3 linked regions of the Macaca fascicularis genome follow. The protein of the gene in region 1 interacts with the protein of each later gene in a pairwise test. Links are inferred from orthologs where the notes say so. Each region holds a gene or a part of one and is shown on either strand. Other genes may lie near its edges.

Region 1 (7,788 bases):
TTGGGGGTTTTCTGTCACAGCTGAATCTAATCTTATTAAAATAAGTATTTTTTAAAAACAGAAAAAGGGATATTTCAAAGTTGGGCAGTAACTAAAATAGGGATGGGAAAGTTAATTAATTGAATTCACAGAAATAGATAATTCCTAAGTTCTGATAAAAGACTAATCCCATTACCATGCATTACTGTGAGTTAGGGTAAGTAGAAGAAAGATTAGTCTTCAATAAGGATGCCAGACTTCTACCACTGTAAGTAATTAAAAATACTTTTGAGGGCCGGGCATGGTGACTCATGCTAGCACATGATGACGCAATCCTAGCACTTTGGGAGGCTGAAGTGGGTGGATCACTTGAGGCCAGGAGTTCAAGACCAGCCTGGGAACATAGCGAGACCCCAATCTCTCCTAAAAATACAAAAATTAGCCAGGCATGGTGGCACATATCTGTAATCCCGACTACTTGGGAGGGTGAGGCAGGAGAACTGCTTGAACCTGGGAGGTGGCAGTTGCAGTGACCCAAGATGGTACCACTGCACTCTAGCCTGGGTGACAAAGGGAGACTCTCTAAAAAAAAAGAAAAAAATTGAGAAAAAGAGTAAGCTGGGCCAGATGCAGTGGCTCACGCCTATAATCCCAGCCCTTTGGGAGTCGGAGGTGGGAGACTTCCTTGAGGCCAAGAGTTCAAGACTAGCCTGGGCAACAGAGTAAGACCTCTGCTGATACAAAAAATGCAAAAATTAGCCAGGCATGGTACTGCGAGCCTGTAATCCCAGCTACTCTGGAGGCTGAGGTGGGAAGATCACTTGAGTCCAGAGGTCCATGGCTCCAGTGAGCTGACTGGGGCACTGTGCTTCAGCCTGGGTGACAGAGTGAGACCTTGTCTCAAAAAGGAGAGGGAGAGGAGAGAGGGGAGAGGGGAGGGGAGAAGAGGGGAGAAGAGAGGAGAGGGAAAGGAAAGGAAAGGGTAAGGAAAGGAAAGGGGAAGAAAGGAAGGAAGGAGAGAGAGAAAGAAAGGAAAAAAAGAAAAAGAAAAGAGAAAGAAAAAAGAAAGGAAAGAAAGAGAAAAAAGAAAAGAAAAGAAAAGAAAAGAAAAGAAAGAAAGAAAGAAAGAAAGAAAGAAAGAAAGAAAGAAAGAAAGAAAGAAAGAAAGAAAGAAAGAAAAAAGAAAGGAAGGGAAAGAAAGAGAGGAGAGAAGGAAGGAGGGAAGGAGGGAAGGAAGGGAAGGAAGGGAAGGAAGGAAAGGAAGGAAGGAAGAAAGTTAGCTGTTGGCCATAGAGGAAGGGCAGAGAGACGTTAGGGGACAGATGGTGGTGAAACTGATAGAATTAAAGATTTGTCAAAAACAGGGATAAAGAGGTAGAAGCTAAAAGGTACATTAAGAGATACACAAATCACCTTTAGTTTCCACAAAATATGAGAGAGCCCATATTAAAATAAGCACCTCTGGTTGTTAGGGAGTGTCTGACCTTTCAAAAAGTATGACTTAGAACAAACTGCTTTTACAAGATGACTTCTTACCTATCTCAAGATACAATTATAACTGTTAAATGTGAATGGCTGCTGCTTAGAGGTACTGATAAAGAAATACAGGATTATGTACTCCTCTTTGTAAGGCAAACAGAATTAAGGAAACTTGGCTTTTGGTTAACCTGATGCCAACAAATTTGTTTCAATAAAACTCCCCACAGCCAGAGATTTCAATACATAAATTGAAATAACCAAATTCTACTACCTTAGCAGGACCTTGTCAAGTGAAGAACTACTGAAGGAGAATGTGGTATCAGGAGAGTCCATTTATATTTTGGAAGACTAGTTGTTAGGAGGGTTGGATCAATGTGCAATCAAGCTACAGAATAGGCAAAAAGAAGAAATTGTATTATGATTTGTTATAACCACAACAAATGCAACACTGGACCAAAAGTACTTTGCAAATAGTCAAAGCAATTAATTCTGAGGTTACGCTAAATCTATGTGCCTACGTCTATGGGCTGGACTGTGCCTCTTCAGCATTCACATGGGGTTACGTGTACTTAACAAATGCTTCTTTGTCAGGCACTCAGTCGTCCATTTAAAAAAAAAAAGTATATTTCCTTCATCAATAGCATTGAGTATTAACCAAATTTAATAATTAAATGTGATTCAAAATGAAGTTACAAAACCTCATTTAGTGTTCCTTGGCCAACTGACACAAGCAAGATCTCTTTCTTAAACCTGGCATGAGAATACAAAAGTATGGAATCATAAATACAAAAGAAGGCTTTAAAACAGCAAATCTTGCAAATCTCCAAGATTTTAAAAGATCAGACATGGAAACATTTTATTTCAAAATCCTCTGCCTTTTCCCCAAGAGGTTTCATAAAGAACTTGATCACTAGGAAGGCAACGTTCCCTAAGAACTATAAATAAAGACATCTCATTTTAATTTATTTATTGCAAAGCTTGTAGAACTGTTGACAGGAGTTACAGACAGATGGCTTATCTGATAGTGCAGAATACCTGAATGCATCAAAAGATTCATAATTGTCTTTTATTACCCTGGCTCAGAATCCTCAAGCACTTGGGCATCTGATAAGAATTTCACATAGTGAACTATACCAGAGCTGTCAGGGCCTAGTACAATTTGAAATACCCACAAGATTATTTCAGGGTTAAAAACCAAAAAAAAGGTATCAGTTTTATAAATGCTTATATGCATAGAATTTAGTGAGGGATAGCTTATGTCCAAAGAAATGAAAAGAATAGCATATCCTGCTTTCTTGACTCTGCCTACAGTGTTCATATCTATTATGTTTCCAAAGTTCTGGAAATGACCAAACATGATTAAGAATATATCCAACAACTGACCCTATATTCTATTTTAGACACAGACATATAAGCAAGGATAGAGAAGGGAGCCAGACTCCATACACACTCACCCAGTTAATGACACTCTCAAACCCCTCTTCACTCATCCCCTTAACATCCTCACAGCACAGATGTACTGCTGGTGAGAGAGAACATGAACAGGACTGGAGCTATACAGGGATAGCTGAGAGACATCTGCCTGTTGGCAAAGCAGAACAAAATTTGCTACCATTGCAAGCAGTGATCAAAAGGTGGAACCAAGAAAACTAAGCTAAACGATGAAAGGGGGAGGGGTTGGAGTTTATGAGTTAAAGTAATATACCTTCCACAATAAATTCTGACTATCAACCATAGGCAACACTCAAAGGAAAGGATGGCGAATGTAAATGCACACACCTAGTTTCTACTCACTCATATTGGCTTTATTTGGCCGCTTCTCAAATCTCAGAGGAGCCATATTGATATAGTTATGTAGCATTTTTATAATCATCCGAAGCATGGCTTAATAGAGAAATCTCATCCTCTAAATTATACCTAATGAACTTCTCATTACAATATTTTACATTAGCCCAACCTATCAAGTAATCTTCTGCTCTCCCCAATCTCAGCTGGAGCTGAATCCCAAGTCCCATATGTCTGGAAGGTGAAAGAACAGGCAGGCGTTCCGGACGTAACTCTTAGTACCAGCCCTGCCGCTAACTCGCTGGCGTACAGTCCAGAGCAAGCCACTTAGCTTTCCTGAGCCCCCAAGACCTTGACTTGTAGCAGGATCCCCAGGCTAGATGATGTCTAACCTCCCTTCCAATCTAACAACCTATGAATTTATAGCGGAACGAAAATTTGGGCCACATTATCCATTAGGCATTCTACTGAATGCTAGATTTTTTTTTTTTTTTTCTCGTAAGAAAAGAAACCCGACAGACTTCAGGGACTATACTACTCTCAAAACCTATCTGAGTAACTGAGAACAGTACTCTGAATCCCATAAACTAAAACAGCATCGTATGAAAAACAGTTTCTACCTTAATAAAGGTGAAAATGTGAAAACTAACATCCTTGCAGCTGTGGAAAAACGAATCTCACTTGGAGTATCTTTTCTCTTAATGTATTATAAATCTCAGGTTGCTGTAGGTTACACAGAAACCAAAGTAACCCCGACTCAATTTTCAGGCCTGACACCTTCCAGCATCACCCGGACTTTTAGATTTCAGGGACAAGCAGAGAAGGGGGAAAAAGTCACTGGGTTGCTGGTAAGTGACTGAAGAACTTGAGAAGAGTGGAGGGCAAGGTGGCCGCGCGGCCTCACGGTCCCCTTCTCCACCCCAGCCTAGGAGGCCCAGAGCTGCGGCGGCTCCTGCCCGTCCCACTCCACCTTGGGGCGGCTGCAGGCTTGCGGCCGCGGAAGTCACCTGTGAAGGAGTCAGGGTAGATGGACTCCAGAGCCTCCAGCTCGTTGCGCTGCTCCTCGCCGTAATCTGTCATCGTGGCTCTTGCTCTTGCCCATGGATTGCCCAGACACCTAGGCGGCGCGCAGCAGCCCAGACAGCTGCAGCGCCGGGAGAGCGGGCGGCGGCCAGGCGGGCGCAGGCGCAGAGTCCCCGGCTGGAAGGCCCAGGGCCCAAAGCCAGACCCGGCCTGCTTAGCTACAGTTAAGCGCCGGCCTCCGCCTGCTCTCTACTTCCAAGTTCGACTAGTTCTGCCTGGCCAGGGGGGCACTGATTTGCTGCCTGTCCCACACTCGCTCGGGACTTGCTGGGACGGTGCGCGCGGTCTGGCATTTGCTAAGGACACCTACAGCCGGCTGCTGGGCTTTGCAGGCCCTGAGCCTTAGAAGCTTCTCAGCGCGGCATCCTCGCTCGATGAGTCTGGGCTGAAAGGCCGGCATCGTGCGCCAGGGAAAGAAAGCGTCGCTGGTGGCCGAGACTGGGCGACGGGCATCGGGTGCCTTTTCTGGTTTCCGATTTGACCCTGTGGCGTAGGTGCTGCGGTCTTGCTACCTAGTGTGGACTAGTGGGGGTCAGGAGATTTCTGCGCTTCTTGAACTCCGTATTGCGTGGCGTCCCACGGGAGTTGGACGAGGGGCTGGGACCAGGGTAGATTCCACTGGGCGGGGGAACAAAAGCTCTGCACTGCCTTGAATGAGCACGGAAGGGTCGACCTAACTGCTTAATAAGTCGGGGTGGATCCGGGGGGGAGAAATAGACCCTAGGTCCGGCTTCTCGGTTCAGATCTTTAGGTTTAACTTGTGAATTTGTGAAATGAACGCGGCTTGACGTTTTATAGATCTCAAGATGTCCGTGACTGTGTATTTGTGAATTGGTGAGAGGAATGTCGATCTCAGTAATAACAGTTTTAATATGCAATTAAAAATTGCAGTACCCCAGGAAATATTGAGAACCTTTAATTTGGTAATACCACTTCCAAGAATAAACTTGAGCAGGTAGTATGCATCTGTGATCTCCAAGGTCATTGCAGCAATTACAAAGAAAATTTTCAAAGTGCCATGATGGCAAAAGCTAAGAAAATGGCTAAATAAACATGGTTAACTTTATGAAAAGAATATTAAACAACTGTGGTAACAATAATAAAGGATCCCATGTTCCTTTATTATAATATTGTGCAAAGTCGAAAAAATGGAAAATTTTAAGAAAATACTCAAAAGCTGTTCCCCACTTTATTTTTCTTTGTTTTGATTTCTCTGTATTAAAGCTGGTTTCACTTGTATAGTGGGAGGAACACTTTTTAAACGAAAGCTTCCTAATGAAGCCTCTGAAGTTTTCTCTTGTTGAAATGGTGATGTCCCATGGACCAGAAGGCACCTTGATCTTTTATTGAGGAGTGCTGCTTACCTATGACAGAGGAACGCTTTGGTACTCATTATGTGTTTACGGTATTAAGGGTTGATTTCAGGCATTCTTTTAAACTTTAAGGAAAAGAGTGGAGTCTCCTAACTATGATGAGAATCAAATAAAATACATAAAGTAACTTTGCAATTATAAGTTGCTCATTTTTTTTTTTTTTTTTGGATCGCTTCAGTTCAGAGGAATTATAATGATTTGTTATAAGGAAAGAGCTGCCAGAGGAAACACTAGTGCATAAGTTCTAAGGGGGGTGTCAAGGCTGATTTTTGGCTACAAGAACTGGAAAGATGAAGTTCTGTTGACCGAAATAAGTGAGGAAGACAGAATCAAATTTGGCAAGGAAGATGGCATTACATCTTTAAATGACTCCTAGATCAAAGAAAATCAAGCAAAATTAAGTTTTTTCTCCTAACAGAATAATAAAAACAACCTACCAAAAGAAATGAGATGCAGCAAAGCAACAAACATAACAAGGTTTACGTTAGAAAAAGGTTACTTTTGGTTGCCAATTACAATCTAGTAAATGTAGTACCTCTTTATTTGCATTCCTATTTCATTAACAAAACTTTTGGTAAAGCATCCTTTTCAAACCTTATGTATCACTGTAAATAAACCCTACATGCTTCAGAATGCTCAAGAGTGTTACTTTGATACTGGAGATGGCTCTCGTAATCAAGGAAAAACATCTGCAAATCTTTGTCATACCTACATATGCATTATTAAGCATTTTTTAGTGGATCTCTAATTTCATTTTGACCATAACACATGCTTAACAGAACACAGCAAGTCCCTTAACTGAAATTGTGGAAAATTCTCATGAGGCAAATTGACTTTCTTTTAGTGTTTCGTTTTTAATTGGTAGTTAAAGATGTTATAGACCAAGTGTGTTTTAAGCTCTGCAGGTAGGCAAACGGTGTGAGCCATTGATATGGTTTGGCCGTGTCCCCACCTGAATGTCATCTTGAATTGTAGTTCCCATAATCCCCACGTGTCACGGGAGGGACTAGGTGGAGATAATTGAATCACGGGGCCGATTCTTCCCATCCTGTCCTTGTGATAGTGAGTTCTTACGAGATCTGATGGTTTTATAAGGGGCTTCCTTCTTCCCTGGGCACTCGGTCTTCTTCCTGCAGCCATGTGAAAAAAAAAAAAAGGTGTGTTTGCTTCCTCTTCTGCCATGATTATAAGTTTCCTGAGGCCTTCTCATCCATGCAGAACTATGAGTCAATTAAAAGTCTTTCCTTTATAAATTACCCAGTCTCAGTTATTTCTTCATTGCAGCGTGAGAACTGACTATGATAGTCATCATAGGATCTGGAACCAGAAGTAATAAACTCAGCCTTAGTCATTTGCAAGATACGTAAGCTTATAAGATAATTCAGATGACATGAAATAATTATAAGCATGTTTGTAAACTCCATATCAACATTATTTCCTGATAATTAAATTCATATATCATCTTATAAAGCATTGCTATTCTCTGTTCATCTTTATTGCTAATGAAGTATGTCCCTAAGAGATTCATCTTATTTGTATTCTTCTTAGTTTCTTCTGCAGGTAATACAAATTAGTAGTTGCTCTTTACTAATACTATAAGCCTTTAAAAATTACTTTGATGTTTATTTTTACTTCTCTGTGCCTGTGAGTTTTCTAGCAATCACACTATCAGAAGCTCAGTGTTGAGAATTCCCTATTTCATGCTTAATTTTAATTATTAAACAGTTCATGTGGCTAATGTTTCATTTACTCAGGTATCTCAAAGACTTTACCAGTCACAAGCACAAAGAGCCATATAAAATTTTAGTTTTGTGTGCTCACCTGAGTAGATATCTCTTCAAGGGTAGTGAATCTTAGTAATACTTTCCAGCCTAACTCAGTTCCCTGGCCTACAATCTACTCTGAGTCAACACAGAAGCCAGAGTGGTTCTGTTACAATGTAAACCAGTCCATATCACTCCTTTGCTCATAACTGCCCCATCCTCATCTCAGATTAAAACCATGTATTTATAATATAGGTCCTAGAATCTGGCTTCCTGATCCTCATCCTCACAGCTCTTCTTTCTGTGTCTTAGTCCATTTTCTGGAC
Region 2 (7,688 bases), on another chromosome or scaffold:
TTCAAACGAGGAGTAAATACGTTCATCCAACATACAGGAACAAATGACTAGGAGAACTAAAAATATTATATGCAAATGCTACAAGGAATTTTAACAGTGACTTAACTTATTCAAGTCTCAATAATATTAATGGGCTGGGCATAGTGTCTTATGCCTATAATCCCAACACGTTGGGAGGCCAAGGCAGGCAGATTGCTTGAGCCCAGGAGTTCAAGACCAGTCTTGGCAAGGTGAGGAAACAACATCTCTATAAAAAATACAAAAATTAGCTTGGCTTGGTGGTACACGGCCATAGTCCCAGCTACTCAGGAGTTTGAGGTGGGAGGATGGATTGAGCCCGGAGTTCAAGGCTGTGGTGAGCCGTGATCACACCACTGCACTACAGCCTGGGCGACAAGAGCGTGACCCTGTCTCAAAAAAAAAAAAAAAAGTAATGTATCATGAAATAGATACTCAGCTACATACTCTTAGGATGGAGAAAACAAACACAGCCTGGCCGGCTCAGACTTCTGTAGGACACAGCCTATAGAACTTCTCAGGTGGATTAATTCTGGAAGAGCAGACTCACCTACTACTCTCTTCAACTATCACATGACAAAGATTAGGGGGCAGCTTAGTTTACAGCAAGTAACTGAAATGGAGAATTTCATAGGAGGAGGCTGTAAAAGAAAAAAACTGAAATGGGGAATATGACCATCACAATTAAATTTAAAAGCAAGGAAGGATGTCAGAAATCAAAACGAATCCCTCAGTTTAGAGCTAAAGAAACCAAAGCCAGCAGGCATGGTGGCTCATGCCTGTAATTCCAGCACTTTGGGAGGCAGAGGCAGGCAGACTGCCTGAGGTTAGAGACCAGCCTGGCTAACATGGAGAAACCCCATCTCTACTAAAAATACAAAAATTAGCCAGGTGTGGTGGCGGACGCCTGTAGTCCCAGCTACTCGGGAGGATGAGGCAGTGGAAGTGCTTGAACCCTGGCGGCAGAGGTTGCAGTGAGCCAAGATCATGCCACTGCACTCCAGCCTGGGCGACCGAGCAAGACTCCAAAAAAAAAAAAACACAAAACCAGGGGGCGGGGGCCAGGCACAGCGGCTCATACTTGTAATCCCAGCACTTTGGGAAACTGAGGCAGGTAGATCACCTGAGGTCAGGAGTTCAAGAACAGCCTGGCCAACATGGTGAAACCCCATCTCTACTGAAAATACAAAAGATTAGCCAGACGTGGTGGCAGGCACCTGTAATCCGAGCTACTCAGGAGGCTGAGGCAAAAGAATCGCTTGAACCCAGGAGGTGGAGGTTGCAGTGAGCCAAGATCATGCCACTATACTCCAACCTGGGTAACAGAGTGAGACACTTGTCTCACAAAAAAAAAAAAAAAAAAACAAAGTCCACTATCATTTAAGATAGTAGCACAGGCTGGACGCAGTGGCTCATGTCTGTAATCCTAACATTTTGGTAGGCCAAGGCAGGCGGATCACTTGAGGTGAGGAGTTCAAGACCAGTCTGGCCAACATAATGAAACCCCATCTCTACTACAAATACAAAATTAGCTGTGCATGGTGGTGCACACCTGTAATCCCCGCTACTCGGGAGGCTGAGGCAGGAGAATCGCTTGAACCTGGGAGGTGGAGGTTACAATGAGCTGAGATCACACCATTGCACTCCAGCCTGGGTGACAGAGTGAGACTCCATCTCAAAAAAACAAACAAAAAAAAGGCCGGGCACAGTGGCTCACACCTGTAATTCCAGCACTTTGGGAGACCAAGGTGGGGTGGATCACCTGAGGTTGGGAGTTCAATACCAGCCTGACCAACATAGAGAAACCCCATCTCTACTAAAAACACAAAATTAGCCAGGCATGGTGGCACATGCCTGTAATCCCAGCTACTCAGAAAGGCTGAGGGAGGAGAATCGCTTGAATCCGGGAAGCAGAGGTTGCAGTGAGCTGAGATTGAGCCATTGCACTCCAGCCTGGGTAACAAGAGCAAAACTCCACCTCAAAAAAAAAAAAAGAAAGAAAGAAACCAAAGCCCACTATCATTTAAGATAGTAGCACAGGCTGAACACAGTGGCTCACGCCTATAATCCCAACATTTTGGGAGGCCGAGGCAGGCGGATCACTTGAGGTCAGGAGTTCAAGACCAGCCTGGCCAACATGATGAAACCCCACCTCTACTAAAAATACAAAAATTAGCTGGGCATGGTGGTACACACCTGTAATCCCAGCTACTCGGGAGGCTAAGGCAGGAGAATCTCTTGAATCTGGGAGGTGAAGGTTGCAGTGAGCTGAGATCATGCTGCTGCATTCCAGCCTGGGCAACAGAGTGAGACTCCATCTCAAAAAAAAAAAAAAAAATAGTAGGACAACTGGAATTAAGATAAACTTCTGCCAAATTCAAGATCCAATACTGTTTCCATCACAAGGCTTCCAATCCAGTCAGGCACAGACTGCACACTCAGTCAGTACCTGTTTCCTTCCACCACATCAATGAGGTCATCAGCTGTAGCATCACTACGTAGAGTCACATCAGCATTATGAATCTTGTATTCGGCCAGAATGCTCTTCACAGTTTCAGCATCTAGCTCACTCTGGGGGCACTGAAAGGGAATAGCAGATGACTGGTCAGCACAAAATTTAAAAAAAAAAAATACTTGCCAAGTGTACCAATATCCATGTACCTGGAAAATTCTAGCTAAGATGCAAACTCATTACTAAAGACATCCGGGATGAGTGTCACTGACTTTTAGTAGGAAATAAATGTTCAAACTCCAAGGAAGGTGTTACACGCTGAACTGTGTTCCTCCTTCCCCCACAAAATAATTCATATGTTGAAGTCCTAATCTCAGTATCTCAGAATGTGACTGTATTTGGAGATAAGAGTCTTTAAAGCGGTAATCAAATTAAAATAAGGTCATTAGAGTGGGGCCCTAATCCAATACTGGTGGTACTAATGAGAAAAGGAGATTAGGACACAGAAACACAGAGCAAACACCAGATGAAGTCATATCTGTAAACCAAGGACAGAAGCCTCAGAAGAAACCAACCCTGCCATCACCTTGATCTCAGACTTCCAGCCTCTAGAATTATGAAAAATAAATTTGTTATTTAAGCCACCCCATCTGTGGTACCATATTATGGCAGCCCTGGCAAACTAACACAGAAATAATCTTAAATGTTCAAATTCGAACATTAAGACAGGATAATGGGAAAGATGTTTTGGGCAAGACAGCTTAAACCTATGCCAGTCAAATCATCTGGAGTGTTAAATTTAGTAGGAAAGTCTCAGTCCTCAATTCTGACAGAGAAGCAGCATTTGACAGAACTGGTCACTCTTATCTGAAACACTTTACTTGGCTTCCAGCATTTCAAACTCTTTCAGTTTTCCTTCTCTCTCTTTGTCTAAGAAGTCTTATCTCTTTGAGTCTCTTTTCTTTTTTTCTTTTTTTTTTTTTGAGACGGAGTTTCTCTCTTGGTGCCCAGGCTGGAGTGCAATGGCGCAATCTCAGCTCACTGCAACCTCCACCTCCTGGGTTCAAGCGATTCTCCTGCCTCAGTCTCCCAAGTAGCTAGGATTACAGGCGCGTGCCACCATGCCTGACTAATTTTTGTAGCTGGTCTCCAACTCCTGACCTCAGGTAATCTGCCCACTTCAGCCTCAGCATCAGCCACTGTGTCTGGCCGATTCTCTTTTCTTTTTTCTTTTCTTTTTTTTTTTTTTTTGAGATGGAGTCCCACTCTGTTGCCAGGCTGGAGTGCAGTGGTGTGATCTCGGCTCACTGCAACCTCCTCCTCCCAGGTTCAAGCGATTCTCCTGCCTCAACCTCCTGAGCAGCTGAGATTACAGGCGTGTGCCACCATGCTCAGCTAATTTTTGTGTTTTTAATAGAGACAGGGTTTCACCATGTTGGCCAGGATGGTCTCGATTTTTTTTTTTTTTTTTTTTTTTTTTTGAGACGGAGTCTGGCTCTGTCACCCAGGCTGGAGTGCAGTGGCGCGATCTCGGCTCACTGCAAGCTCCGCCTCCCGGGTTTACGCCATTCTCCTGCCTCAGCCTCCCGAGTAGCTGGGACTACAGGCGCCCGCCACCTCGCCCGGCTAGTTTTTTGTATTTTTTAGTAGAGACGGGGTTTCACCGTGTTAGCCAGGATGGTCTCGATCTCCTGACCTCCTGATCCGCCCGTCTCGGCCTCCCAAAGTGCTGGGATTACAGGCTTGAGCCACCGCGCCCGGCCTCGATCTCTTGACCTTGTGATCTGCCCGCCTTGGCCTCCCAAAGTGCTGGGATTACAGGCATGAGCCACCGCGCCTGACTCTCTTTTCTTTTCTATCTATACTCACATCCTTGGTGATCTCAGTTAGGTCCATGACATTAAAGTTGATAATCACCAAATTTATATATCCAGTCTAGGTAATTCCTCATGCAGCCTAAGTAATTCCTCATGCCTTTTTTTTTTTTTTAGTAGAGATGGGGTCTCACTTTGTTGTCCAAGCTGGTTTTGAACTCCTGGGCTCAAGTGATCCTCCTGCCTCAACCTCCCAAAGTGCTGGGATTATAGATGTACAGTCATGAGCCACTGTGCCCAACCTACCCCACATGCCTTCTTGACAGAAACACCTAGATGTCTAACTGGCATCTAAAACTTAACATCCTGATCTTCTCCTTCCCTCCAAACCTACTCTACCAAAAGTCCTACCATTTTAGTAATAAGAGTTCATTTTTTTTTTTTAGCTCAGGACAAAAAAAAAAAAAAAAAAGTGGCTGGGTATGGTGGCTCACACCTGTAATCCCAACACTTTGGGAGACCAAAGCAGGAGGATAGTTTGAGGCCAAAAGTTCAAGATCAACCTGGGCAACATGGCAAATCTCCGTTTCTACCAAAAAAAAAAAAAAAAAAAAAGCCAAGCCTGGAGGCATGTGACTATAGCCCTAGCTACTTAGAAGGCTGAGGCAGGAGGGTCACTTGAGCCCAGGAGTTTGAGCTAACAGTGATTGTACCACTGTACTCCAGCCTAAGCGACAGAATGAGATCAACCAGGCTGGCCGACATGGTAAAACCCCGTCTCTACTAAAAATACAAGAATTAGCCGGGCACAATGGCAGGCACCTGTAATCCCAGCTACTCAGGAGGCTGAGGCAGAAGAATCTCTTGAACTTGGTCGGCAGAGGTCGCAGTGCGCCAGGATCGCGCCACTGCACTCCAGCGTGGGTGACAGAGCAAGACAGAGTGAGACTCCATCTCTAAATAAGTAAACAAACAAACAAACAAAAAACAAAACAGGCATCTCTGACTCTTTCTTTCACAATGCATACCCAATCCAGATGTAATTACTATCAGCTATTTCAAAATCTTTCCACAACCAACCACTTTTCAACTCCTTCACTGTCACAACCCTGGTCCAGGAAGCTATCACTTCTTGGTTATTGCAATAACCTCTTAAATTATTTCTGTTTCTGCTCTTAACCTACTGCAATCTATTCTCAACATAAGAGTCAGAATTATTCCACTAAAACCTAAGTCAAATCATGTTTGTGGGTCAGAACTCAACCAAGTTACCCATCTCCTGTAAAGTAAAAGCACATATGTCCCTATGTTATGACTTCATCTCTTACTACTCTCTTACTTGCTCATTCTGCTGTTCCTCAAACATGGGAAGACATGCCCTGCCTCAGTACCTTTCCACTTGGACGTTTCCTCTGCATGAAGCAAATGCTCTTCTTCAAGATATCCACTTGGTTCACACCTTCATGTTACCTCAGTGAAGACTTCCCTGACCAACGTTCTTAAAACCGCAACCCTCACACCAACACTCTATCTCCTTTCCCTACTTTGTGTTCTCACATTTATCATTGACTAATACATTATATTTTACTCATTAATATTTGCTATTCTATCCAACTAGAAAATAAAATAGCAGGGGGTTTCACTATTCCCTCTTCCATTCCTGCTCAGAGCCTAAAATAATGCTTGGCCCATGGTAGGCACTCTATAAATTTGTGTTAAATGAATGAAAACAGAAGACATTGGCGGCCATGTACTTTATGCAAGCATAATATTGGTTCACACTCCCATATCATCCCCAATAGATAATCCAAAAGAGGAAATAAGCAGCAAAGGTAAGTCTGAGACTGGCTCCTACCCTAATCTTGAAGTCTTTCTTGTCAGTCATTATGAAGTCACTGTGCTATCTCAATTAGTGCAGGGAAAAGCCAAGAAATTTTCCAATGTCAATGTCCATGCACCCTAATCCACTCCCCACTCCTATTCCTGCAGCAGCCTGCCCCATGTCGTCTTCCCCACTTACAGTGGCTGTGAGATTAATGCCTCCCTTGTCTTTCTTCTTAAAGCCAATGTTGGGGGGTTTGCTGTTCAAGCGAATGCCAAAGCCTTCCAGCTCATTTTCAATTATCTTCTTATGTCCCAAAGGTTTCAGGACATCCAGAACAATCAAGATCAAGTTACAGGTTCGGGCCACTGAAGAGTAAGAAAAAAACATACCCAAGAAAGTTCAATAAAGCCTTAACTAACCCAAATACTCAAGTAGAGGTGTTTTTCCCCCTACATTTAAGTGTCAAAGGATTTTTTTGTAATACATACATACATACATACACGAAGTTCTTATAGCTACAAAAGAGTTATACCAGAAGTCAATTTGCTTTGTATGCCATGAAATCAGCACATATTTGCCCAAGAGTTGATACATTTTCTGTCGCCCAGGCTGGAGTGCAGTGGCACAATCTTGGCTTACTGCAACCTCTTCCTCTCGGGTTCAAGCGATTCTCCTGCCTCAGCCACCCGAGTAGCTGGGACTACAGGCACGTGCCACCATGCCCAGCTAATTGTATTTTAGTAGACATGGGATTTCCTCACCATGTTGCCTGGGCTGGTCTTGAACTCCTGAGCTCAGGCAATCCACCCACCTCAGCCTCCCAAAGGGCTAGGATTACAGGCGTGAGCCACTGCGCCCACCCTTGGTTAGCATATTTTAAACCAAATTTAATGAGGTACAACTTTTTTTTAATTATATCCATGTTAAAGCACACAGTTCGATGGCAAATGTATATACCTGTGTAACCACCTAAGCAATCAAGACACGGAATATTTCCATCACCTACAGCATTCCTTTGTAACTAACTCCTTTCAATCTTCCCCACTATTCCCAGCCAACCACTGATCTGCTTTCTGCCACCATAGTTTGCACTTTTTAGAATTTCATATAAATGAAATCATATAAAATATATTATTTTGGCACAGCACAGTGGCTCCTGCCTATAATCCTAGCACTTTGGGAGGTTGCAGCAGAAGGACTGATTGGAGCCAGGAGTTTGAGACCAGCCTGCGCAACAAAGTAAGATTCAATCTGTACAAAAAAAAAAAAAATGTAGTATTTTGTGCCTGAATATCTTATTTTTATTAATACATACTTATATTTATATTGACTGAGACAGAGTATCACTCTATTGCCTAGGCTGCAGTGCAGTGGCATGATCATAGCTCACTGTAGCCTTTAACTCCTGACCTCAAGCAATCCTCCTGCCTTGGTCTCCCAAAGTGCCAAGATTACAGGCATGAGCCACAGTATCTGGCCTATTTCTATATTAAAATTCATTTGTCAAAAATTCTGCTTCCAGGCCGGGCGCGGTGGCTCAAGCCTGTAATCCCAGCACTTTGGGAGGCCGAGACGGGCA
Region 3 (7,788 bases), on another chromosome or scaffold:
TGTAGAGATGAGGTGTTGCTATGTTGCCCAGGTCTTGAACTCCTGGCCATAAGCAATCCTCCTGCCTCAGCCTCTCAAAGTGCTGGGATTACAGGTTGAGCCACTGGGCCTGGCCTTTCTTTTTTTTCTTTTCTAGAACATGCTGACCTCATGCCTTCCTTGGGACCTTCACACTGGCGATTCTCTCCATTTCAAAGAGATCTTTCTGGAGCTGGCTCCTTCCCATCATTTGAGGTGCAGCTCAAACGTCACCTCTTCAAAGAGGCCTCCCCTGCCCAGTCTCAGAGGGTGGTGTCCTACAGAGGTTGACAGCTTGTGTCAGAACTCCACCCTGCAATTACTGGGGCCGTTTTACTTTGGAAAAGTTAGTTTTCTTGTGCATCAGTTTCTTAAACTGCAAATAGGTTTATTAACAGTATTAACTTCTTAGGCAGATTTCTTTCTTTTTTTTTTTTTTTTGAGATGGAGTCTCGCTATATCGCCCAGGCTGGAATGCTGTGGCGCAATCTCAGCTCACCGCAACCTCCACCACCAGGGTTCAAGCAATTCTCCTACCTTAGCCTCCCGAGTAGCTGGGACTACAGGCACACACTATGATGCCCAGCTAATTTTTTGTATTTTTAGTGGAAATGGGATTTCTCCCATTATATATATTATATATATATATCAAAAATATATAATTTCTCCATGCTGGTCTCAAACTCCTGATGTCAGGTGACCCACCCACCTCGGCCTCCTAAAATGCTGGGATTACAGGTGTGAGCCACGGACAGTCTTGCTGGTGTCAGGCTGGAGTGCACAGGTGTGATCTTGGCTCACTATAACCTCCACCTCCTGGGTTCAAGAGATTCTTCTGCTTCCTCCTCCCGAGTAGCTGGGACTACAGGCTGGTGCCACCACGCCTGGCCAATTTTGTAGTTTTAGTAGAGACGGGATTTCACCATGTCGCCCAGGTTGGTCTCGAACTCCTGACCTCAAGTGATCCATCCACTTCGGCTCCCAAAATGCTAGGATTACAGGCGTGAGCCACTGTGCCTGACCATACTTCAGCAGATTTTTGATGGTGGAATAATGGAGAAGTTTTACAGAAAGCACTAAGAACATCGCTTAGCACACAGTAAGCACCTAATAAAAGTTGGCTATAATCTACAGTAAATTCCGTCCTTCCCCAGACCCCTTCCTGCCTCGTGAGCCAGTTTACTGTCTTCTGAAGTCTGAAAACTATCTTATTTCTTTACTTCCCTGACTCTGGTAGGTCAGGAAATGGGACTGGATCCCCAGCTTCCAGCACAGGGCCCAAGCACACAGGAAATATTTTGCCAAGTGAATGTGTGAATTGATAGCAATGAGAAAGGGTCAAGAATGGGTTCTGCAGCTGGGCATGGTGGCTCACACCTGTAATCTCCAACACTTTGGGACGCCAAGGAGGGAGGACTGCTTGAGGCTGGGAGGTCAAGACCACCCTGGGCAACACAGTGAGACTGTGCCTCTACAAAAAATGTAACAATTGGCCGGGCGCGGTGGCTCACACCTGTAATCCCAGCACTTTGGGAAGCCGAAGTGGGCGGATCACCTGAGGTCGGGAGTCCGAGACCAGCCTGACCAACATGGAGAAACCCTGTCTCTACTAAAAATACAAAATTAGCTGGGCGTGGTGGTGCACACCTGGGAGGCTGAGGCAGGAGAATCGCTTGAACCTGGGAGGCGGCGGTTGTGAGCTGAGATCGCACCTCTGTACTCCAGCCTGGGCAATAAGAGTGAAACTCTGTCTCAAAAAAACAAAAAAAAACAAAAAAAAAAAAAAAAGGAAAAGAAAAAAAAAATATATATGTAAAAATTAGCCCGGTGTGGTGGTGCACACCTGTAGTCCCAGCTACTCGAGAGGTGGAGGTGGGAAGATTGCTTGAATGCAGGAGTTTGAAATTACAGTGAGCTATGATCACACCACTGCACTCCAGCCTGGACAACAGAGCAAGACTATCTCAAAAAAAAAAAAAAAAAAAGGATTCAGTGTCAGTCAGGTTCACATGGCCCTTCCTGTCATCCCAGCTCCTAAAATTCTGAGCATATCTGAAGGGAAGGACTAGGTCTTAATCACCTTTACATCTCCTTTGTCTACCACAGCCAAAGTAGCAGCATCTCTAGCCTCCCTGTGACTTTCCTTGGGCCTTACAGGTAATATTCCACACAGCAGCCAGAGGGAACTGTTTTTTTTTTTTTTTTTTTTTTTGAGACGGAGTCTGGCTCTGTGGCCCAGGCTGGAGTGCAGTGGCCGGATCTCAGCTCACTGCAAGCTCCGCCTCCCGGGTTTACGCCATTCTCCTGCCTCAGCCTCCCGAGTAGCTGGGACTACAGACGCCCACCACCTCGCCCGGCTAGTTTTTTGTGTTTTTTTTAGTAGAGACGGGGTTTCACCGTGTTAGCCAGGATGGTCTCGATCTCCTGACCTCGTGATCCGCCCGTCTCGGCCTCCCAAAGTGCTGGGATTACAGGCTTGAGCCACCGCGCCCGGCCCAGAGGGAACTTTTAAGACAGAAGTCAGAATAGCCCCTCCCCTGCTTAGCACCCTGCACCAGCTCCCACTGCCTTAGAACACAACCCAGAGTCTTTCCCATGACCTGTGGCTCTGCATGATCGACCCCCTCCTGTCCCATCACTGCACCCCACCCTAGTCCTGTTGATCTGTAAACAGCCAAGTTTGTTCCTGCCTCAGGGCCTTTGCATTAGCTGTTCTTTCTGCCAGGAACACTCTTCTCCCAGATGTTTGCATGACCAGTTCCTTCTTCTCATTCAGGTCTTAGTTGAAACGCCCCATTCTCATGGTGGTCTTCTCTATCATTTCACCTAAGCAGGCCCAATCCCCAGCCCCTCCCCACCCCTAATACTCTGCTGTATCACCCTGGTTTGTCTTCATAGCACATACTGCTGGCTGACATTGTTTTATTTATTTTATTTCTAGTTTTCAGACTGTCAACTAGAAGGTCAGATCTGAGGGCTGGGATATGCCTGCTGTGTTCACTGCTTTAACCACAGTGCCTAGCACATAGTAAAGGCTCAGGAAAGATCGGCCGGGCATGGTGGCTCACGCCTGTAATCCCAGCACTTTGGGAGGCTGAGGAGGGCGGATTACCTGAGGTTAGGAATTCAAGACCAGCCTGGACAACATGGCGAAACCTCCTCTCTACTAAAAAAATACAAAAATTAGCTGGGTGTGGTGGTGCGTGCCTCCAGCTACTTGGAGACGGAGGCAGGAGAATCGCTTGAACCTGGGAAGCAGAGGTTGTGGTGAGCCCAGATGGCGCCACTGCACTCCAGCCTGGGTGACTGAACAAGACTGTCACAAACAAACAAACAAACAAACAAACAAAAAAGATTTACAGAAGGAATGAGTCATAGAGGGCCCTCAACTCCTCGGCCTTCAAACCTAAATGGAACCAAGGGAAGGCAGACACTGGGACCAGCTATCTGGTGTTGCTTGCTTCCTTCTCCCACAAGCCTGAATGGCTAGCTACTAGCCTGGCCAATTGCTTCTCCCATTACTCTTCCATACCCACCTTGTGATCTAGACTGCTCTCACTGTCCCATGAACACATCATGCTCACTCCCATGTCTTTGTCTCAGTAGTGGCCCCCACCTGGGAAACCCTCCCAACAACCAGCTCAAGTCCCACTTCCTCCTAGTGTCATCATTCTCTCCTAATCTCTCTTCTGTGAGCTCCTCCAGCCCTTACATTCTAAAGTCCAGATTTGAGGCTTCATTATCTATTATCTATGTTGGGGTGTTTACTTTAAATACTGAGTGCTTACCATGTGCCCAGTGCTTTGTAAAGGCCATCTAATTTAACTCAGCTGTGTGCTAAGATGGAGCAGGAAAGTATCACCCCATTTACAGATGAAGACACTGAGGCTCCAAGAAGTGAAGTGACTTTCCAGTGTTTTACACAAGGTACGTGGTGGACCTGGGGTTCAAACCCAGGCCTTCCAGACTCCAGAGTCCTGATTCCCTTGCTCCAGTGGGCTCTCAGCTACTGAGTGAGGCTGTTCCTGAGAGGTCTCCTCTTGTACTTCCCAAAACAACAGGGGAGACCACCAAAGCCCCGGGCCCAGCCATCAGGAGACTGGGGTTTGAACCCTAGCTCTGCCTCTCTCTGGGTCAGATGGGTCAGATGCTTGCTCTGTGAGCTGGGATTACTCTACTTGGACACACGGTCTAGGACTGATCAGATCTCTTGGGGGCCGTTTGCAGTCAGACCTGGGTGTGAGACCCGCTCCCGCCTGGCCCTGCCTTGGGCGCGCAGGCCGGCCTCGGCACTTGTCTGGCAACTTCTCCGCAGCCTCGGATCTTGTCCCAGCATTACTGCTGGAGTTGTTCCCCCATTTTACAGACAGGAAAACTGAGGCGGGCAGAAAGGAAGGCCCCGCCCGTCCGGCCCTCACCCTTGTTCTTCTGCGTCCGAGCGATCTCCTTCTCGATCTCCGAGATCTTCTCTAAGATCCCCATGGCGGCAGCAGAGCTGGGCGCACAGACAGCGGCTGCGGTGGCACCGGGAATTCCGCTCTGACGGCGGCGACAGAGGAGCGTGCGCCCGGAAGTCAAGGAGAACAGCGTTCTCGTGGGCGCCTGGTGCTCCGGGATTCAGAGTCCGAGCGAGCCAAGTTGCCAGACACTATCGGTTCCGCCCGCTGGACCGGCCAGGCTGTGGACCTCTGGGAAGGGCGGGGGCGGGGCCGGGCCATACTGTACTGGCCCACGGCTAGGCTGGCCGGAGCAAGCAAGGAAGAGAGGGAATCTGCTGGTGATGAACCCTGAACTGCGAGTCCCTGCGCGCAGCTGACTGGCAGTATAAGGAAAAGGGTCTGAGTCGAAAGCCTGGTGGCTCTCATTTTATACTATAAATGGAGGTGTCCAATCTTTTGGCTTCCCTGGGCCACATTGGAAGAATTGTCTTGGGCCACACATAAAATACACTAACACTAATGATAGCTGATGAGCTTTAAAAAAATCGCCAAAAAAGTTAATGTTTTGGCCGGGCGCGGTGGCTCACGCCTGTAATCCCAGCACTTTGGGAGGCCAAGGCAGGCGGATCACCTGAGATTGGGAATTCGAGACCAGCCTGACCAACATGGAGAAATCCCGTGTCTACTAAACATACAAAATTAGCCGGGCGTGGTGGCGCATGCCTGGAATCCCAGCTACTCGGGAGGCTGAGGCAGGAGAATTGCTTGAACCCGGGAGTGGGAGGTTGCGTTGAGTGGAGATCGTGCCATTGCACTCCCGCCTGGGCAACAAGACGGAAACTCTATCTCAAAAAAAAAAAAAAAAAGTTCAATTTTTTTTCTTTGTTTTGTTTTTTTGAGACGGAGTCTCACTTTGTCGCCCAGGCTGTAGTGCAGTGGCACGATCTTGGCTCACTGTAACCTCCAACTCCCAGGTTCAAGTGATTCTCCTGCCTTAGCCTCCCAGGTAGCTGGGATTACAGGCGCATGCCACCACGCTTGGCTAATTTTTGTATTTTTAGTAGAGACAGGTTTTCACCAAGCTGGCCAGGCTGGTCATGAACTTCTGACCTCAAGTGATCCGCCTGCCTCAGCCTCACAAGGTGCTGGGATTACAGGGGTGAGCCGCTGTGCCCCGCCTAAATTTCATAATGTTATAAGAAAGTTTATGAATTTGTGTTTGGCCACATTCAAAGCAGTCCTGGACCACATGTGGCTGCAGACCTAAGGTTGGACAAGCTTGAAGAAGTTCATAATGGATCTCCAAGATCTGCCACTGCACTCCAGCATGGGCAACAAAGCAAGACCCTGTCTCAAAAAAAAAAAAAAAAAGAAAGAAAGAAAAGAAAAAAAGTGGATCCCCATACCACCATTTGTTTTTTTTTTTTTTTTTGAGACAGGGTCTCACTTGATCACCTAGGCTGGTGTGCAGTGGCGTGATCACAGCTCACTGCAGCCTCGACCTCCCAGGCTCAGGTAATCCTACCTCCTCAGTCTGGGAGAAAGTCAGCCACCACGCCTGGCTGATTTTTGTATAATGTTGTACAGATGGGGTTTCACCATTGTTGCCCAGGCTGGTCTTGAACTTCTGAGCTAAAGGAATCTGCCAGCCTTGGCCTCCCAGAGTTCTGGGATTACAGGCATGAGCCACTGCACCTGGCCCCCCATACCACCTTAACTAAGTACTCCAACTCAGCGTCACCTACCATCAGATGCCTCCTGATATGAAGCAGTGTAAAGCAGACAGCATCTCATGACTTTTTTTTTTTCCTTAGGCTCTCCCTCTATTGCCTAGGCTAGAGTACAGTGGCTTGACTACAGCTCACTGCAACCTCAACCTCCCAGGCTCAAGTGATCCTCCCAGACCTCCTGAGTAATTGTGACTACAGGCCCAAACCATTATGCCTGGCTAATTAAAAAAAAAAAGTTTTTTGTAGAGATGGGGTCTCACTATGTTGCCCAGGCTGCTCTTGAACTCCTGGTCTCAAGCAATCCTCCCACCTCAGCCTCCCAAAGTGCTAGGATTACAGGCATGAGCCACCTTGACTGGTTGACAGCATCTCTTATGTAGAATTCTTGCCAAAAATACTATAACTGAGTTCAGGCATGAGGAAACATCAGATAATGTAGAAAGTGGAACATTTTATAAGGCAGGTGGCCTTGGTTCATCAAAATTGTCAATGACAGTAGCCGGAGATAAGCAGGGGGATTGTTCTAAATGAAAAAATGTTACATGTGTGGAACTTGTCCGGATTCTGGTTGAAATTTTTATTTATTTATATTTATATATTTTTTTCTTTTTTTGAGACGGAGTCTTGCTCCATCACCCAGGCTGGAGTGCAGTGGCACAATCTCGGCTCACTGCAACCTCTGCCTCCCAGGTTCAAGCGATTCTCCTGCCTCAGCTTCCTGAGTAGCTGGGACTACAGGCGCCTGCCACCACGCCCAGCTAATTTTTGTATTTTTAGTAGAGACTGGGTTTCACCATGTTAGCCAGGATGGCCTCAGTCTCCTGACCTCATGATCTGCCCGCTTTGGCCTCCCAAAGTGCTGGAATTACAGGCTATTTTTCTTTTTTTAGAGATGAGGTGTCTCTCTATCACCCAGGCTGGAGTGTAGTGGCATGATCATGACTAACTGCAGCCTTGAACTCCTCAGCTCAAGTGATCCTCCAGCCTCAGCCTCCCAAGTAGCTAGGACTACAGGCACATGCCACCATGGCCAGTTAATTCTGGTTGAAAAAATTAAAAGCACCTATAAAAAGACATTCTGGGCTGGGCACAGTGGCTCACGCCTGTAATCCCAGCATTTTGGGAAGCCGAGGTGGGTGGATCACCTGAGGTCAGGAGTTCAAGACCAGCCTGGCCAACATGGCGAAATCCCATCTCTATTAAAAGTACAAAATTAGAGGCCGGGTGCAGTGGCTCACGCCTGTAATCCCAGCATTTTGGGAGGCCAAGATGGGTGGATCACGAGGTCAGGAGATCGAGACCATCCTGGCTAACATGGTGAAACCCCGTCTCTACTAAAAATACAAAAAATTAGCCGGGCATGGTGGCACACACCTGTAATCCCAGCTACTTGGGAGGTTGAGGCAGGAGAATCGCTTGAACCCGGGAGGCAGAGGTTGCAATGAGCCAAGATCGCGCCACTGCATTCCAGACTGGGCAATAAGAGATAAACTCCATCTCAAAAAAAAAAAAAAAAAAAGACATTCTGAGCTGGGTGTGGTGGCATGTACCTGTAGTCCTGATTACTCAGAAGGCTGAAGCAGGAGGATCATGTGAGCCCA

What was found.
Region 2: the proteins of RWDD1 (region 1) and DRG1 interact in binary tests that used the Homo sapiens proteins (3 or more experiments, as listed by UniProt). The two-hybrid records come from large-scale screens. The link is inferred for Macaca fascicularis from reciprocal best matches to the Homo sapiens genes RWDD1 and DRG1.
Region 3: the proteins of RWDD1 (region 1) and DRG2 interact in binary tests that used the Homo sapiens proteins (3 or more experiments, as listed by UniProt). The link is inferred for Macaca fascicularis from reciprocal best matches to the Homo sapiens genes RWDD1 and DRG2.

The regions. Positions count from the first base shown.
Region 1 is NC_088378.1:20,583,085-20,590,872, reverse strand, and holds the start of RWDD1 (RWD domain-containing protein 1), read right to left. Parts: upstream 4,403-7,788; 5' UTR 4,324-4,402; coding exon 4,251-4,323; intron 3,041-4,250; exon of another isoform or gene 2,913-3,040; intron 1,844-2,912; exon of another isoform or gene 1,730-1,843; intron 1-1,729. UniProt on the Homo sapiens protein: Protects DRG2 from proteolytic degradation.
Region 2 is NC_088384.1:20,206,241-20,213,928, forward strand, and holds part of DRG1 (developmentally-regulated GTP-binding protein 1), read right to left. Parts: intron 6,475-7,688; coding exon 6,305-6,474; intron 2,599-6,304; coding exon 2,468-2,598; intron 1-2,467. UniProt on the Homo sapiens protein: Catalyzes the conversion of GTP to GDP through hydrolysis of the gamma-phosphate bond in GTP. Appears to have an intrinsic GTPase activity that is stimulated by ZC3H15/DFRP1 binding likely by increasing the affinity for the potassium ions.
Region 3 is NC_088390.1:18,201,744-18,209,531, reverse strand, and holds the start of DRG2 (developmentally-regulated GTP-binding protein 2), read right to left. Parts: upstream 4,595-7,788; 5' UTR 4,501-4,594; coding exon 4,437-4,500; intron 1-4,436. UniProt on the Homo sapiens protein: Catalyzes the conversion of GTP to GDP through hydrolysis of the gamma-phosphate bond in GTP. When hydroxylated at C-3 of 'Lys-21' by JMJD7, may bind to RNA and play a role in translation.